Struthio camelus: one gene and its partner. The protein of the gene in region 2 purifies or fractionates together with the protein of the main gene of each other region. This does not show direct contact. Links are inferred from orthologs where the notes say so. Each region holds a gene or a part of one and is shown on either strand. Other genes may lie near its edges.

What was found. The genes of interacting proteins can lie anywhere in the genome.
Region 1: the proteins of CCNA2 (region 2) and PHF8 purify together in Homo sapiens (affinity purification with mass spectrometry; 3 studies listed by BioGRID and IntAct, counting the BioPlex papers as one, with this or other methods). This does not show direct contact. The link is inferred for Struthio camelus from reciprocal best matches to the Homo sapiens genes CCNA2 and PHF8.

Annotation. Positions count from the first base shown.
Region 1 is NC_090979.1:567,378-574,708, forward strand, and holds the start of PHF8 (histone lysine demethylase PHF8), read right to left. Parts: upstream 3,018-7,331; 5' UTR 2,568-3,017; coding exon 2,470-2,567; intron 2,385-2,469; coding exon 2,299-2,384; intron 2,198-2,298; coding exon 2,089-2,197; intron 1,855-2,088; coding exon 1,694-1,854; intron 738-1,693; coding exon 596-737; intron 516-595; coding exon 329-515; intron 240-328; coding exon 77-239; intron 1-76. Other genes in the region: serine/threonine-protein kinase WNK3, read right to left, coding at 5,349-5,489, 5,631-5,806, 5,904-5,993, 6,245-6,453, 6,549-6,778. UniProt on the Homo sapiens protein: Histone lysine demethylase with selectivity for the di- and monomethyl states that plays a key role cell cycle progression, rDNA transcription and brain development.
Region 2 is NC_090945.1:19,619,233-19,626,156, reverse strand, and holds the start of CCNA2 (cyclin-A2), read right to left. Parts: upstream 3,003-6,924; coding exon 2,847-3,002; intron 2,658-2,846; coding exon 2,396-2,657; intron 2,288-2,395; coding exon 2,172-2,287; intron 1,794-2,171; coding exon 1,570-1,793; intron 1,029-1,569; coding exon 824-1,028; intron 1-823. Other genes in the region: BBS7 (Bardet-Biedl syndrome 7 protein), read right to left, coding at 4,214-4,350, 5,356-5,479, 6,689-6,792, 6,901-6,924. UniProt on the Homo sapiens protein: Cyclin which controls both the G1/S and the G2/M transition phases of the cell cycle. Functions through the formation of specific serine/threonine protein kinase holoenzyme complexes with the cyclin-dependent protein kinases CDK1 or CDK2.

The DNA.
Region 1 (7,331 bases), on a different chromosome or scaffold from region 2:
TGATGAAGACGGATAAAGGACCTGGGGGGATCTGGAGAAGATCGGAGAGAACCCAGAGGATGTCGCGGGATCGTACCAGTGGGGATGAAGAGGGTCTGGCCCTGACGCAGGGGGCAGCGGTAGCACCGATCCACCTGGTCGCCGAAGAACATCTCGCTCTGGTTGCTGGAGCTGCTCCAGGCCTCGAAGAGGGCCAGGTTGGCCGGGGTGGGCCGGGCCAGGTAGAAAACCTTTTCGCCCTGCGGGACGCGAGAGGCGGCGTCGGCAGGAGCGCGCGGCCGTCCCGTAGACCCCAGGAGCCTCCGACACCCCCCGCCCCGGGGCGCACCCGCAGCACGTGGTACCACACGGAGGTGCCGCCGAAGTCGATGTGGAAGTCGGTGTAGCTGTCGCGGGCGCCCATGAGGCAGTACTTCTGCACGCTGGGCCGCTCGAACACCGACTCGCCCGGCCACAGGTTCTCCACCCACGAGAGCTTGCGCACGATGCGCGGCGTCTCCACCAGGTTGGACAGCCTGCGGGCCGCGAGGGCGTCAGGGCCGGGGGACCCCGTGCCGCGGCGGGTTGGACGCGACGCGGGGCCGGGGCGCCGTACCGGGTGTCGGAGAACTCGAGGCTGATGACGTTGAGGACGCGGTCGCGCCGGGCGCCGCAGAAGTAGGCCACGAAGTCGCCCAGCCGCATGCGGCAGTCGGCCTGGCGCGCCACGTCGATCACGTCGATCTCCTTGTCCGGGCCTGGCGCGGGCAGGGTGGACGGCTGGGGGGCAGACACGCGCCCCCACGCCGGCCCCCCAACCTGCCCCAGACCCCTCCCAGCCTGCCCCACGGGCCCCATACGTACCCTAGGCACCCCCTGCCTGCCCCAGAGACGTCCCTGTGTACCCCCAGGCTGCCCCATGGGCCCCATAGATGCCCTATGCACCCTCTGGCTGCCCCATGGGCCCCATACGGGCCCTAGGCACCCCCAACCTGTCCCAGAGATACCTCTATGCACCCCTAGTCTGCCCCAGAAATACCCCTATGCACCCCTAGTCTGCCTCACAGGCCCCATAGACACCCTGGGCACCCCCTGTCTGCCCCATAGATGCCCCTACACACTTCCAGCCTGCCCCACGGGCCCCATACACAACCTATACACCTCCTGCCTGCCCCACAGACGTCCCTCTGTACCCCCAGGCTGCCCCACAGGCCCCATACGCACCCCCAAGCTGCCCCAAAGACATCCCTCTGTACCCCCAGGCTGCCCCACGGGCCCCATAGACACCCTATGCACCCCCAGGCTGCCCCACAGGCCCCATACACACTCTATGCGCCCTCTGCCTGCCCCATACACACCCTATGCACCCCCAGACTGCCCCATACGCACCCTACACACCCCCAAGCTGCCCCAAAAACATCCTTCTGTACCCCCAGGCTGCCCCACGGGCCCCATAGACACCCTATGCACCCTCTGCCTGCCCCATACACACCCTACGCACCCCCAGGCTGCCCCACGGGCCCCACAGACACCCTAAGCACCCCCTGCCTACCCCACAGATGCTCCTATACACCCCTAGCCCGCCCCACGGGCCCCACAGACGCCCCTACGCGCCCCTGGGCTGCCCCACACGCGACATAGGCGCCGCTACGGGCTCCCACGCGCCCTGAGCCTGCCCCGCAGCCCCACCGCCGCCGCCGGCCGGGCTCCTCACCCACGTAGTGCTCGATGTCGCGGGCGGTGAAGGTGGGGGGCGGCAGGGTCATGCCCAGCCCCTCCTTGCGCAGCACCAGGATGGGGACGCTGAAGCTGTTCTCCTCCAGGTACTCCACCGTCAGCTGGGCCCCGCTGGGCTTCAGCAGCACCTCGTCGGCGCTGGAACGGCCCCCGTAACGCCCGGCTCCGCGCCCTACGCCCCCCCCCCCAACCCCGGGGCGAGGGGAGCGACGCCGACGGCGCCCGCGCGCGGCCGGTTCGGACGTCCCGGCGAAGCCGCGCTTCGCTCGGGGCGGGGGGCTCGGCGCCCACCGCCCCGAGCGCCCCGTCAAGCGGGTATAAAACCAAAACCGCCCCGACGCCGGGGCAGAGCGGCCCCGTCACCCCTCTCACCTGGGGAAAGTCCGGCCTCGCAGCTCCCGGACGAACTGGGCGCTGCCGGTGCGGACGGCGCGGCCGGGCTCGGCGTCCGGCTGCTTGGCGAGGCCGCGGCGCCGCTTCACTGCGGAGTCGGGGAGGGGGGAGATGCCGGCGTTGAGGAGACGCCGCGAACCGCGTGTCCCCCCCCCCCAAAAAACCACACCGTCCCGAGCGGATACTCACTGACGGAGGGGCCGTGCAGCTCCTGGCACTTGGGGCAGTGGTAGAGGTCGATCTCGGCCGCCGCCTCCTCCTCCACTCCCACGCAGCTGTAGGCGCGCGTGTATAGGGGACGGCTCGGCCCCCGCCGCCTCCCCGACCCCGGCCCCCCCCCCCGGCCCCGCCGGCCCCCACCTGCCGTGGAACCAGTCCTGGCACACGTCGCACTCGATCATGAAGCGGGTCACGTCGTAGGGCAGCCGGCACAGGCAGTACACGGGCACCGAGGCCATGGCGCCCACCCGCCCCTCCCCCCCGCTATAGGTGCCCCCCTCCCGCTATAGGCACCCCCTCCCCCGCTATAGGCGCCCTCCTCCCCGGCGGGACCCCCTCTCCCCGCCCCAGGGCATCAGCCCTGCGGCGTCGTATAGGGGCAGCCCCCCCTACCCCCCCCTCCGTGCTGGGGGGGCACCAGCGGGGCTTCCCCTATAGAAAAGGGCTGCTCGTAGCCCCTATAGATCTCTCCTGCTTTTTGCTATGGGGGGGGGGGGAACTTTACGGGATGGTTTCGGCTCCTCTCCGCGCGGACCCGGCCTCACCGCCGCTCCCTTTGCCCTATAGACCCCCCCCTCCCCCTATGGGGAATTCAGCTCCCTATAGGGCCCCCCCCTTCTATAACGGCTCTACCTCCCCCTTAACCTCCCTATAACACCCCTCTATAGGGTCTCCCCGGGTCAACGCGGCCCTGCCCCCCTCCACCCACCTCTATAGCCCCCCCCAGCTCTATAGGCCACCTCTGGCCCTATAGGCCCCCCCCGCCGGCTCTATAGGGCCCCGGGACGCCCCACTCCGGGTCTATATGGGCCCGGGACCCCTCCCCCCGGGCCTATAGGCCCCCCCCGGACGCTCCCCTCGGCTCTATAGGGCCTCGACCCCCCCCGCCGAGGTCCGCGACCCCCTTAAAGGCCCCCCAGGCCCCGACGCCGGTGCCGCCGCCGCCGCCGCCGCTGCTGCTCGGCTCCGGCCTCCCAATAAAGTTTATTCAAACGCGGAACGGGAAGGAGGGGGCGGGGCCGCGCCGCCATGTTGAGGTCACCGGAAGGTGGCGGAGGCGGGGGCGGAGCCGAGCGTCCCGGCCGCGCCGCCATCATGGGGAGGTCGCGCAAGCGCAGCGCCCACGCAGGCAGCGGCCGCCATGCTGGGAGTGGCGGGACACGCTCGCGCTCTCTCTCTCTCTCTCTCTCTCTCTCTCGCTCTCGCTCTCTCTCTCTCTCTCTTCCCCCCCCCAACACACCCGGCATGTCCCGCGGCGGCTGCCGTCCAGACGGCCGCCATCTTGGGAGTGGCGCGGACGCCGCGCCGCGGCCATATTGGAAGTGACGCACCGCCTCACAAACACCCGCTTCTCCACGTGGGTTTTTATTATTTTCCCTTTTTTTGGTGTTTTTTTTTGCCGTTTTTACTCCTTTGTAACAATCCGTCCAAAAAAAAAAATAAACGCGGGGCCGCGCCAGCCCCCGCCCCCGGAGCAGACCCGAAACCTCGCTGGCCTTTTGGGGGGGGGGAGACCATGGAGGGGGGGAAGGGACTGAAATGAGGTAGATGGACCAAAACCCCACGTTTACGCCCCAAATCGCGTGGGGAGGGGGAAGGGGGGGCGCAACTGGGAGTTTTGGGACGAAACAAGGGGGTTTGGGGGCCAAAGAGAGGCAACCGCGGCGCTGGGGGGAGGCCCACGCACCGTTGTCGGGTGAACGAGGGCCTTTTGGGGGGAAACGGGGCGGTTTGGGGGCATTTTGGGGTGGAACGGCGGGTTTCGGGGCAGAACGAGGACGTTCGTGAGGTGACCGAGGGGTTTCAGCTCCACTGGGGTGGTTTGGAAACCGAATGAGGCGGTTTGGGATGTGGGGGGGGGGAACCGGCAGTTTTGGGGGAAAATGAGGTGTTTTGGGGCAAAACCGGGCCACTTTGGGGTCGGACGAGCGGGGCTGAACCGAGGCCGTTAGGGGCAACCAAGAGGAAAACGGGGCGGGGGAAACGTGGGCGTTTGGGTCAAACAAGGGGGTTTCGGGGTGAAACGAGGCAGTTTGGGGCAAAACGGGGGGGCCTTGGGCACATGGGGAGGTTTCGGGGTGAAACGTGGTTTTAGGATGAAACAGGCTTTAGGGTGAAACGAGGCAGTTTTGGCTCAGCTGAGGCAGCTCGGGGTCAACCGAGGCAGTTTTGGGGTGAAAGGGGGAGGTTTGGGGGTGAAACGAGGTGGTTCTGGGGTGGAACAGGTTTTTGGGGTGAAATGAGGGGTTTTGGGGATGAAATGGGGCGGTTTTGGGGTGAGACTGGGCAGTTCCAGGGTGAAATGGGGCAGTTCTGGGCTGAAATGAGGTGGTTTGGGGGTGAAACAGGGCATTTTGGGGGTGAAACGAGGCTGCTTTGGGGTGAAACGAGGCTGCTTTGGGAGTGAAACAGGGCAGTTTTGGGGTGAAACAGGGCAGTTCTGGGGTGAAAGGGAGTGGTTTGGGGTGAAACAAGGCAGTTTGGGGGTGAAACGGGGTTGTTTTGGGGTGAAACAGGGCAGTTCTGGGGCGAAAGGGGGTGGTTTTGGGGTGAAACAGGGCAGTTTTGGGGTAAAACAAGGCAGTTCGAGGGTGAAAGGGGGCAGTTTAGGGGTGAAAGAGGCTGGTTCTGGGGTGAAAGGGGGCAGTTTTGGGGTGAAATTGGGCGGTTTGGGGGGGAAACAGGGCAGTTTGGGGTTGAAACGAGGCTGTTCTGGGGTGAAAGGGGGCAGTTTAGGGGTGAAACAGGCTGGTTTTGGGGTGAAAAGGGGCAGTTTTGGGGTGAAATGAGGTGGTTTAGGGGTGAAACGGGGCGGTTCTGGGGTGAAACAGGCTGGTTCGGGGGTGAAATGGGGCGGTTTTGGCGTGAAAGGGGGTGGTCTATGGGTGAAACGGGGCGGTTCGGGGGCGAGACGAGGCGGTTCTAGCACGAACCGGGCAGCTCCTGGCTCGGCGGAGACGGCGCGGGGGCCGGCGGCGGCGGCTGTCCGGGGGCGACGGCGTCCGGCATCGTCGTCTCCCTCACTTGGGCGCCGGCGGGACGGGGCAGCGCAGGGCCGGACCCGGGGGGCCGGGCGGAGGCGTCGGGACCCACCGGGGCGGGTAGGGGCCGCAGCGGGGCAGCCGGACGCCGCGGAGGGTGGACGCCCACGAGGACGAGCCCTGCGGCGCCGGCGGAAAGAGAGACACAGACAAGAGACGGGACGGGGAGGGAAGAGGATCGGGGCGTGGAAGGGGGAAGGAGGTGGCAACTCAAAGCAGGGCCCCCCGGAGCGGACCCAGGCGTCCGGGAGCCCCCCTCACCTCGACGGTCCTGGCCCGGGCGTCGGGCTCCGGGCGACCCCGGTTCTGCCGGAGCTGGTTGAGGCTGGGCTTGAGGCCCGGCGCGCCGGCCGTCTCTCGCGCCCACTCGTCCACCAGCCGGTGGAAGTCGTCCGTGAAGAGGCCTTTCTTGGCGGCCGGCGGCGGCCGGCAGGGATCTGCGGGACGCGGGCGCCGTTAAGCTGCCGGCGAGGGGCCCAGGCGTCCTGGGGCCGCGGGGTTTTTGGGAGGGGGGAGGCGCACGTCCTCCGGTACCTGGCGGAGCCGGACCCTGGGAGCCGCTGGGGGGCTGCGAGTCGCTGGCGGCGGAGCAGGAGGAGCGGGGGGCCGGCGGGCCGCCGCGCTCTGGGGACGCGGCGGGGATTCGCTGGTGGCTGCTACGGGGCTGAGCCAGACCCCCGAACCGCCCCCCCCCCCCCGAAAACCCAGGCGTCCCCGTCCCCCCTCCCCGGAGCGGTCCGAGCCCCCCGCGGCGGGCCCAGGCGTCCCCCCTCCCCGGAGCGGTCCGAGCCCCCCGCGGCGGGCCCAGGCATCCCCCCTCCCCGGAGCGGTCCGAGCCTCCCGCGGCGGGCCCAGGCGTCCGGGCGCGTGCTCACCTGCGAGCGCGGGGCCGGCGTCGGGGCCGGGGGCCGGCGGGCGCCCCCGGGCTTTGCCTTTGAGGGCCCGGGGCCGGCGGGGGGAGGCGGGGGGCGGCCCCGGCTCGCCGGGCTCCCCCCGGGCGTCCTTGAGGGCCCGCAGGCGGGCGTAGAGCTCCTGCAGTTCCCGGTCCTGCTGCGCCCGCAGCGTCACCACCTCCTGGATGTGCCTGGCGAGGACGGGGGGGACGCGACGGGGCCGTCACTCGGGGGCCGAGGAGGGTGGCCCCGGACGCCTGGGCCCCTTGCCCGGCCTTCTCCTTACTTCTCCCGCAGCTGCTGCAGCTCGGCCTTGAGGTCCTCGTCCTCGAGCTCGGAGTCGCCGTCGCTGCTCATGGGCGACGAGGGCGAGTGGGCGCCGGAGCCCGGGCGGCGCGGTCCGTCCCGGGGGGCGGCCGAGGCCTCGCTGTCCGAACCCGATCCCCCCGGCGGGCTGCCCGGTGCTGCCTGGGCGCCGGGGGGCTCCTCCGCCCCCCGCGCCGGCACCGCCACCACCTGCGGCGGGGGAGAGAGATGGGAGACGATGCGCTCAGCGGCGGGGAGCCGGACGCCGGGGCCCCTTCGCTGGGGGGAAGGAGCAGCGAGGCAGGCTGGGGGTTCAGGGACGGCTCTTTGGGGGGGTCTCTGGGAGAGGTTGGGGGTCCCTGGGGCATTTTGGGGGTCCCTGAGGTGGCACCCATTCCCCTCTAGGTGGCCCTGGGGCATTTTGGGGGACCCCTAGGCAGCTCCCATCATCTCTGGGGGGTCCTTGGGCATTTTGGGGATCCCTGGGGTGGCTCCTGTCATCTCTGGGGGGTCCCTGGGGCAGCTCCCATCATCTCTGGGGGTCCCTGGGGCATTCTGGGGATCCCTGGGGTGGCTCCTGTCATCTCTGGGGGTTCCTGGGCAGCTCCCATCATCTCTGGGGGGTCCCTGGGGCAGCTCCCAGCCCCTCTGGGGGTCCCTGGGGCATTTTGGGGGACACCTGGGCAGCTCCCAGCCCCTCTGGGGGTCCCTGGGGCATTTTAGGGGACCCCTGGGCAGCTCCCGTCCCCTCTGGGGGGTCTCT
Region 2 (6,924 bases):
CAAACTGTTTCAATACCACGTTTTTATCTTTAGAGGTAAGTAAGATCTAGAGGGAAGAGTCCAGTCACGTCTGACCTTCGCCTAGCGAGACAACTGCTTCCATTTAGCGTTTCTGGCACCTGCCACACCTGGCATCTTTGCGTTTAAGAAAGCTTAACTTTATCCAGATAAGCCCGAGATGTTTGCTCTGCTTTGCTTCGAAAAAATAGCTTCTGGATTTAAAGCTCGATGCTTGTTCCCCAAAAAACAAGTGAGTGTCCTTTCTAGCCAAACTGAACCACTGAGTGGACAAGTCCACCCAGACAAGATACTAGCTATTCAAGACGTTAGTTTTCGGTGACCAATACGTTTATGCATTGATCCCTATTCAGTTTCCACAGGAAATTTTAACATGGAGACTTAAGAAACGATGTCCCTTTTTGGGGAGGAGAGTGTTAATTTTAGGTGGGAAAGCATCAGGGAAAACATCCAGCACGGAAAAAGACCCTGAATTTATCAATCTCAGCCTGCTTTGAGTAAGCATTCATGCTTGAGCCAGGTCAGGTGCCAGAGTAGCTCCACTACTAAGTAGCAGACAAAAGTGTTAGTTTCCAATGGCAGAGCCCCACCACTGGAGGAGCACATGGCACAGCAGGCGCGCTCTCCAGAAGTCTCCTCAGGAGTCACGTTACTGATTTAAGAAAGACTGGGAGACAGAAAAGCCTGGACTGAAGTATCCTTTACCATTTTTCCTTTTCTATTGGGAATAGAAAACAGAGCTTGTAAGGTGCCTTAATAAGATAACTTTCCAGTTACGCAGATTCAACTATTAATTCTTACTTACCATTGATAAGCTCTCAACTTTAGCACTTGTCTGCTCATGTAGGAAATACTGGGTAAGGAATTGGTTGATCGTTGGAGCTGCCAAGTCAAATGACAAAACCTTCAAAATTAAGTGCTCCATCCTTAGAACTTGCTTCTTGGTATAGGTGTCATCTGTGATGTAGACAAACTCTGCCACTTCAGGAGGGTAGATTTCTTCAAACTTCCTGCCATAAAGAACAGTTATAAGCAAGTAATTGCGTAGCAGAGAACCAAGTAACCAGCAACAGTTAGTGAAAGACAAGTAGCTGTATACTGTAACTCAATAAGTTTGCTGCATCCAGTTCACTAGGTCTTGGATCTGCAGACTCTGAAGTTATGGAGAGCTACGCTCAGCAATTTTACCATTAAGTACTTTGGGACTCAAGAGTTACTGAAGTTCCTGAAAGTGTTAGGAGACTAACAGTTGCGAGCAAAATTTCCTTTTCACGTTCTTTCCCCCAAATACGTTTGAAAAGTCTTTTGCTGCCGCAACTAGAAATAACGAATCCTCACATTAGGCCAATCCACAAACACAGCCTAGAACCTCGCTTGCAGAGTTTGACACAGGCTACCAAGCTCTTAGGGGGATAACTGCTGCTTCTTACCTAGTGTGAAACCATCCCTAGTCAGTCTGCCTACAGACAACAAAACATGATAGCCACAAGAGAAGATTTCCATCTGTATGAGACCAGCAGGTGGAATTTTAAATTAAGCAGTTTCACTTACGATGCAAGCAACATAGCTGCAGTACCCACAAGCTGCAGTTTTCCTCTTAGAACAGACATTGAAGAAAGAAACCGATCAATGTAATTTACAGCTAAGTGCAGGGTTTCATTCTGTAATTTGTATTCTTCTCCAACTTCCACCAGCCAGTCCACAAGAATAGCCCGCATGTTGTTTGTGATATCAGGTTGCTTCTTCATGTAACCCATTTTAGGCTTGCATTTCACCTGTAAGTTTTGATAACATACAAGGTTTAGTTTGCATTAAGTGCTTGCAGGGAAGCAGGCATTTCAACTCTATTTATCGTAGTTAAAGGGTTTTAAGCAGGGCAGAAGCAGCCAGCAACGGCAAACGTAGGATCAGCAAGCACTTTTTCTGTAGTCTTGCTTTCCCGCTTAGGCCGCAGCGCGTAGCACAGTCACAGGACGCAAGAGCAGTCCTGCGTTCGCAGCAGCGGACACAGCACCCATCTTCTCCCTCTCCCTTTCTAGCAGCCTTCTGCTTTGGCCACCGTAGCAGTTAAGTAGCGCTCCGGTACGTTTCTCGGCCCGGGCTTTCTCCCGCCCTTAGCCCTGCTCGAACCGCGGCAGCTCGCAGCTTCTCACCTCCATTTCCCTGAGGTACGTGTGGATATCGCCGACGTAGTCCGGCACGTTGTTGACGTTGGGGCTCCTCTCTCCCGCGTCGGAGGTTATCGAGATGTCCATAACGCTGGGCGAATCTGCGGCGGGGCACAACGGCCGCGTGAGCAGCGGCACGGGCGGCCGCGGCCCGCCGGCGGCCTCGGGGCAGCGCCCGGCCGCCCCGCCGCGACGCGCCCGGCACTCACCGCAGCTCAGCTCCAGGCTGCTGCCCAGCGGCGCCAACGGCCGCCGCTCCCCCAGGCCGCTCACGGCCGCCCGCAGCCCCAGCGCCGCCGCCGCCGCCGCCTCCTCCTCCTTCTCGGCCGCCGCCGCCCCGCGTCGCCGCCGCCGCTGCTGCTCCCCGTCGGGCTCGTCCACATGGATGGCGAAGGCCGGCTGGCCGCCGCCGCCCGGCCGCCCCGGTGCCGCCGCCGCTGCATGGCCCTCGCCACCACCGCTCCGCGCCGCCTGCGAGGGGGCGGCCCGTCAGCACCGCCCGGCCCGGCCCGGCCCCCGCTGACAGCCGCCCTGACAGCTCCCGCCGCGCCAAGATGGCCACGGCCGGCGCCCCCGGCCCGCGCGCATCGCCCCGCCCCCCCGCCGCCGCGCGCCCCCGCCGCCGCCCCGCGCGCGCGCCCCCGCCCGCCCCGCACTTGCCTGCGGCGGGGGCCCGGCCCGCGCCGGGGGGCCCCGCAGCAGCCCCAGCGCCACGCGGGCGGCGGCGGCGGAGGAGGAGGGCGGCGGCGGCGGCGCTGCTTTGCCGCCACCGCCGGGCGGGACGTTCTCCTGGTTCTCCTGCTCCGCGAACATCATCGCGCCGCCGGGCCGGGGCCGGGGCCGGGCGGCCCCGCTGCCGGCGGAGGGAGGGGAGGGCAGGGCAGGGCACGGGCGCGACGCGTGCCGGCTCCCGGGGCGGCCGAGTGTCGCGCGGCGGCGCCGCTCTCGCCGTTCAAGTAGCCCGCGACTATTGAACCGGCCAATGAGGAGCGCGCGCGGGCGGCGGCGCGTCACGCGGCCTACGGGCAGCGGCAGGGGCCAAGGGAGAACGGGGAGAGGCGCGCTGCGGAGCGCAGGCGTGGCCTGCGGCGAGAGGGGGCGTGGCTTGGGGAGCGGGAGGAAGCGAGCATGCGCAGTGGGCGGCGGGCAGGGAGTCCCGCCCCCCCCCGGGTCCCGCGCCAGGGAAGCAGCCCAGCACTGGTGCTTGAACTGTTTTTCAATCTTTGCCTTCCTACTTAATGTCATGACTTATTCTTCTTTATTTTCGTTGCTCAGGAAATAAGAACACACACACACACACACCTCTATCCAGAGGCTGTTTAATGTCTTTTAAGTTTAAATTAAAAAGTCAGATGCTAAAGAGCACACTGATTTTTCAGTAAAGAGTACTGGAAAGTAACTTGGAATGAGTTACAAAATGAAGAATTGAGGCAAATGAGACGCATGGAGGAAATTTAATGCAATCCATTCTAAACAAGAGTTCACATGCAGTTTTTAAAGTAATCGTGTAAATCTAAAATTCAGAGATAATTCTCCCCACTTTCATGTGTGTCAGTTACATACAATGTGCTGATAGCATTGAAGCACTTGCTCAGTACCGCTAACAAATAATATAGCTACACATCAAACAGCTGATTTTCTCCTAACTGTCCTAAGTCCATGAAAACAAATTTCCTCATACATTCTTCCAAATGGAGAATATTCCTATTTATAGTCTCTAACAATACTGAAAACGTACTCCTGCAAAAAGGCTATTCAGTATCTGGTTCTCTAGTTTTCCTTAGCTATGAAGAACATTTTGTGTATATATAAATGACGTGTGCATTTAACACGTACAACAGTTTATATGAACTAAAATGGACCAGTATTCAATATGGTAATAAGTAAGAATAAAATGAAAGCGTAAAAGGAATAATAAAAACATTTCTCAAAAAATAATGTATTCGACTCCATAGTGGACTGCCTTGGTTGAAAAAATAAAAATAAAAAAAAATAAATCACTCCGCCTTTTCCTTGTTGCTTCCAATTCAGGCTGCAGCCTCAAAAAAAGCAATTAGTCCATCTTGATCACAGCCATCCAGAATTTCCAGAAGAAGAGGAACTTTCGTTTTCACATTGGTGCCTTTAAATTTAAATTTATCTATGAAGAGATCTGTGATCATACCTACAAAATAAAGTTCCAAGATTTTTATTTGCCTTGTTTTCACCATGAGATATCTCTACTATTAACTCTTTGCTATGTATAGACTATTCTAGTCGATTTTGGTTTTAGACACGAGACCGTTTTTAAACTTCATGTTTTAAACAATGATTTTCTTTTGAATAAACCCAAAGCACTCTCCTGTTAGCCCAGATTCCAGCTTCATTCCAAAGCAGGTATTTCTGCCTTAGAATTACCCATACTTGAAACACTCCGGAGAAAGGAACTGTCAAAGGGTATGAAAGGAGAACTGGGTTTATAATGGATACATTATCAAATTAGCACCTGGCAGAGATTACTTGAGCTAAAGGCTATATGGGGAGCACCAGAAAAGTTAACAGAATTTCCTTCACTTAATTACATCAAAGATTCTCCCTTCCCATCCCATGTGTATTTTTCTGCTTTTCTGTTAACTTGTAAAAGTCTTTTTCCTGTGGCAGAACTTAATCACTCATTCAACTTAAATATATTCTTAAACGCCATCCTGAATTAGAATACATTTCTGCATCATATGCATAAAGACAAGGATCATCCGAATATGAAAAGCTGCGTAATAGAAAATACAAAAGTAACTTGCTAATAATCCTGTATTTGCATTTGCAGCACTAAGCTTATGATAGTAAGACAATTTTAGAAATTCTCAGGCAAATAATTCTTGAGGACCTTTGGAGAGTTATTTAAATTTGTAGTAGCAGAACCAGTTTTGGTGTGTGCTAAGTTCTACTACCTTACCTTTAACTTTGGAAGGTTATGATCAAAAATACTGTGTAGCCATCCAGCCTAGCTGTATGAGCAGATGGACATATATGGCTAGACACCTCTAGGTCTCCCGAAGCTATTTAAAAGTACCCCCTTATCATATTATTTCAATGCTACAGATACTGACTTCCTAACTATTTCAGTCACGTCCAATGTGTTCTCTGAACATTAATTTGCATTTAGAAAAAAAAGTTGGGTTAATCAACACACCATAAAGTCTCTCGAGATGTGCAGGTTGTTTCTTGTATTCCTCAAGCAGCTGATCTGCCTCTTCTAAAATGCTACGGTACTTAGGTAGCAGGAAGTCCACATTTCCTTCATGAACCTGTAATTCCTCAAAGACATTTTAAATTGTGAAAATTAGAGACTGGTACGTACTAAACAAACATAAAAGCAACAAAAAAAAAAAATCAGCTTGGATCTGACAGGAGGAAATACCTCAGGGACAATGCCCTTCACCATAACTCTTGCTAGTTTAGAAGTGCCTTATTTTCTAGGTCTTCTAATGAAATGCCAGATGTTACTTGTCACTTCATACATTAGATTCTCACAATGCTACGTGTTACATCTTCGAGCTCCGAGTGCTGCCAGAACAGGATCACTCTGCAGCTCAGCCTCTACAGAATCAAGCCTAACGAAGGCCCAAAGCCTTCACCACGCTTTTACAGAATAAACACCTTTAACAGAATAAGTATATTTACAGAGTAAGTACATTCTTTTACAGAATAAGTAAATTCCTAGGAAGTGTAGCACACATTAAAAGTCTAAAGGTAAAAGTAAATCCCAAAAGTACTGCTGAACTCCTAACAGCAAAAGGTTTTAAAGACATCTTCTAAACGCCTCAGTCTACTATTAGATCAAATCAACATAGATCCTTTTATCCCATACAGAAAGACTGGTTTTTTTCTAGACTGAAGGTAATTATGCATTTGAGTCTCCAGGAATAATAGCTTTTATCAGTCGCCAGATTATTTCACTGCCTCTTAATAAATAAATTATTTAGATACCAGTGACACAAAGTTTAAGGTTTGCTAACAAAAAAAGCCTAAAAGCAAGCACAAAACACTTTCTCCAAGAGCTGCAACATCATTATTTATGCAGAAACATATCACGCAGTAAGAATAAATTATTATTTTGTTATCTCTCAGGTTTGTTTAATCAAGCTTAAGTAAAATACTTTTACTGATAATAAAATAAAAATTTACAATATATTGTGTGGTCACCGGTAGTAAAGTTTTTCCACTAACCAAAGAGTTCAGACAACTAGTCCTTTGGTGGAGGCCAGCGCAAGAAGGAATCAGCTGCCCATGTCTACTATCTGATTTAAACATCCTCAACAACAATCAGTAATTCTATGTTTTTCACTGTTATATACTACAAATAGGAGTTTTACTTTAAAATGTTTGTCTCCTAGACGACTACTACACATGTATTGGGAACAGAAAAAGATTAGACAACATTATAACACATGCTGACTTGAGCCTTACAGCTTGATATCTGCCAACATAACCCACACAAAAATCCTTCAGAGGAGAATACTTACTTTCAAAGCATCTATTAAGTGAACCTTCTTGGCCAACAGCTGCTGATACTCTAATTTGGGGTGGATGAGCTTTAATGTATACCTCACAGATTCTTCATTTATGTCTAGTAGGGCATCAAAAAACCACCAAAAACAACAAGCAAATGAGTAATGTTTCATTTAAAAGAATATAAAATGAAGTCAAAGACAATGAAACAGTAAGGAAGTTTTACCATATGATATATTAAGATTAATCT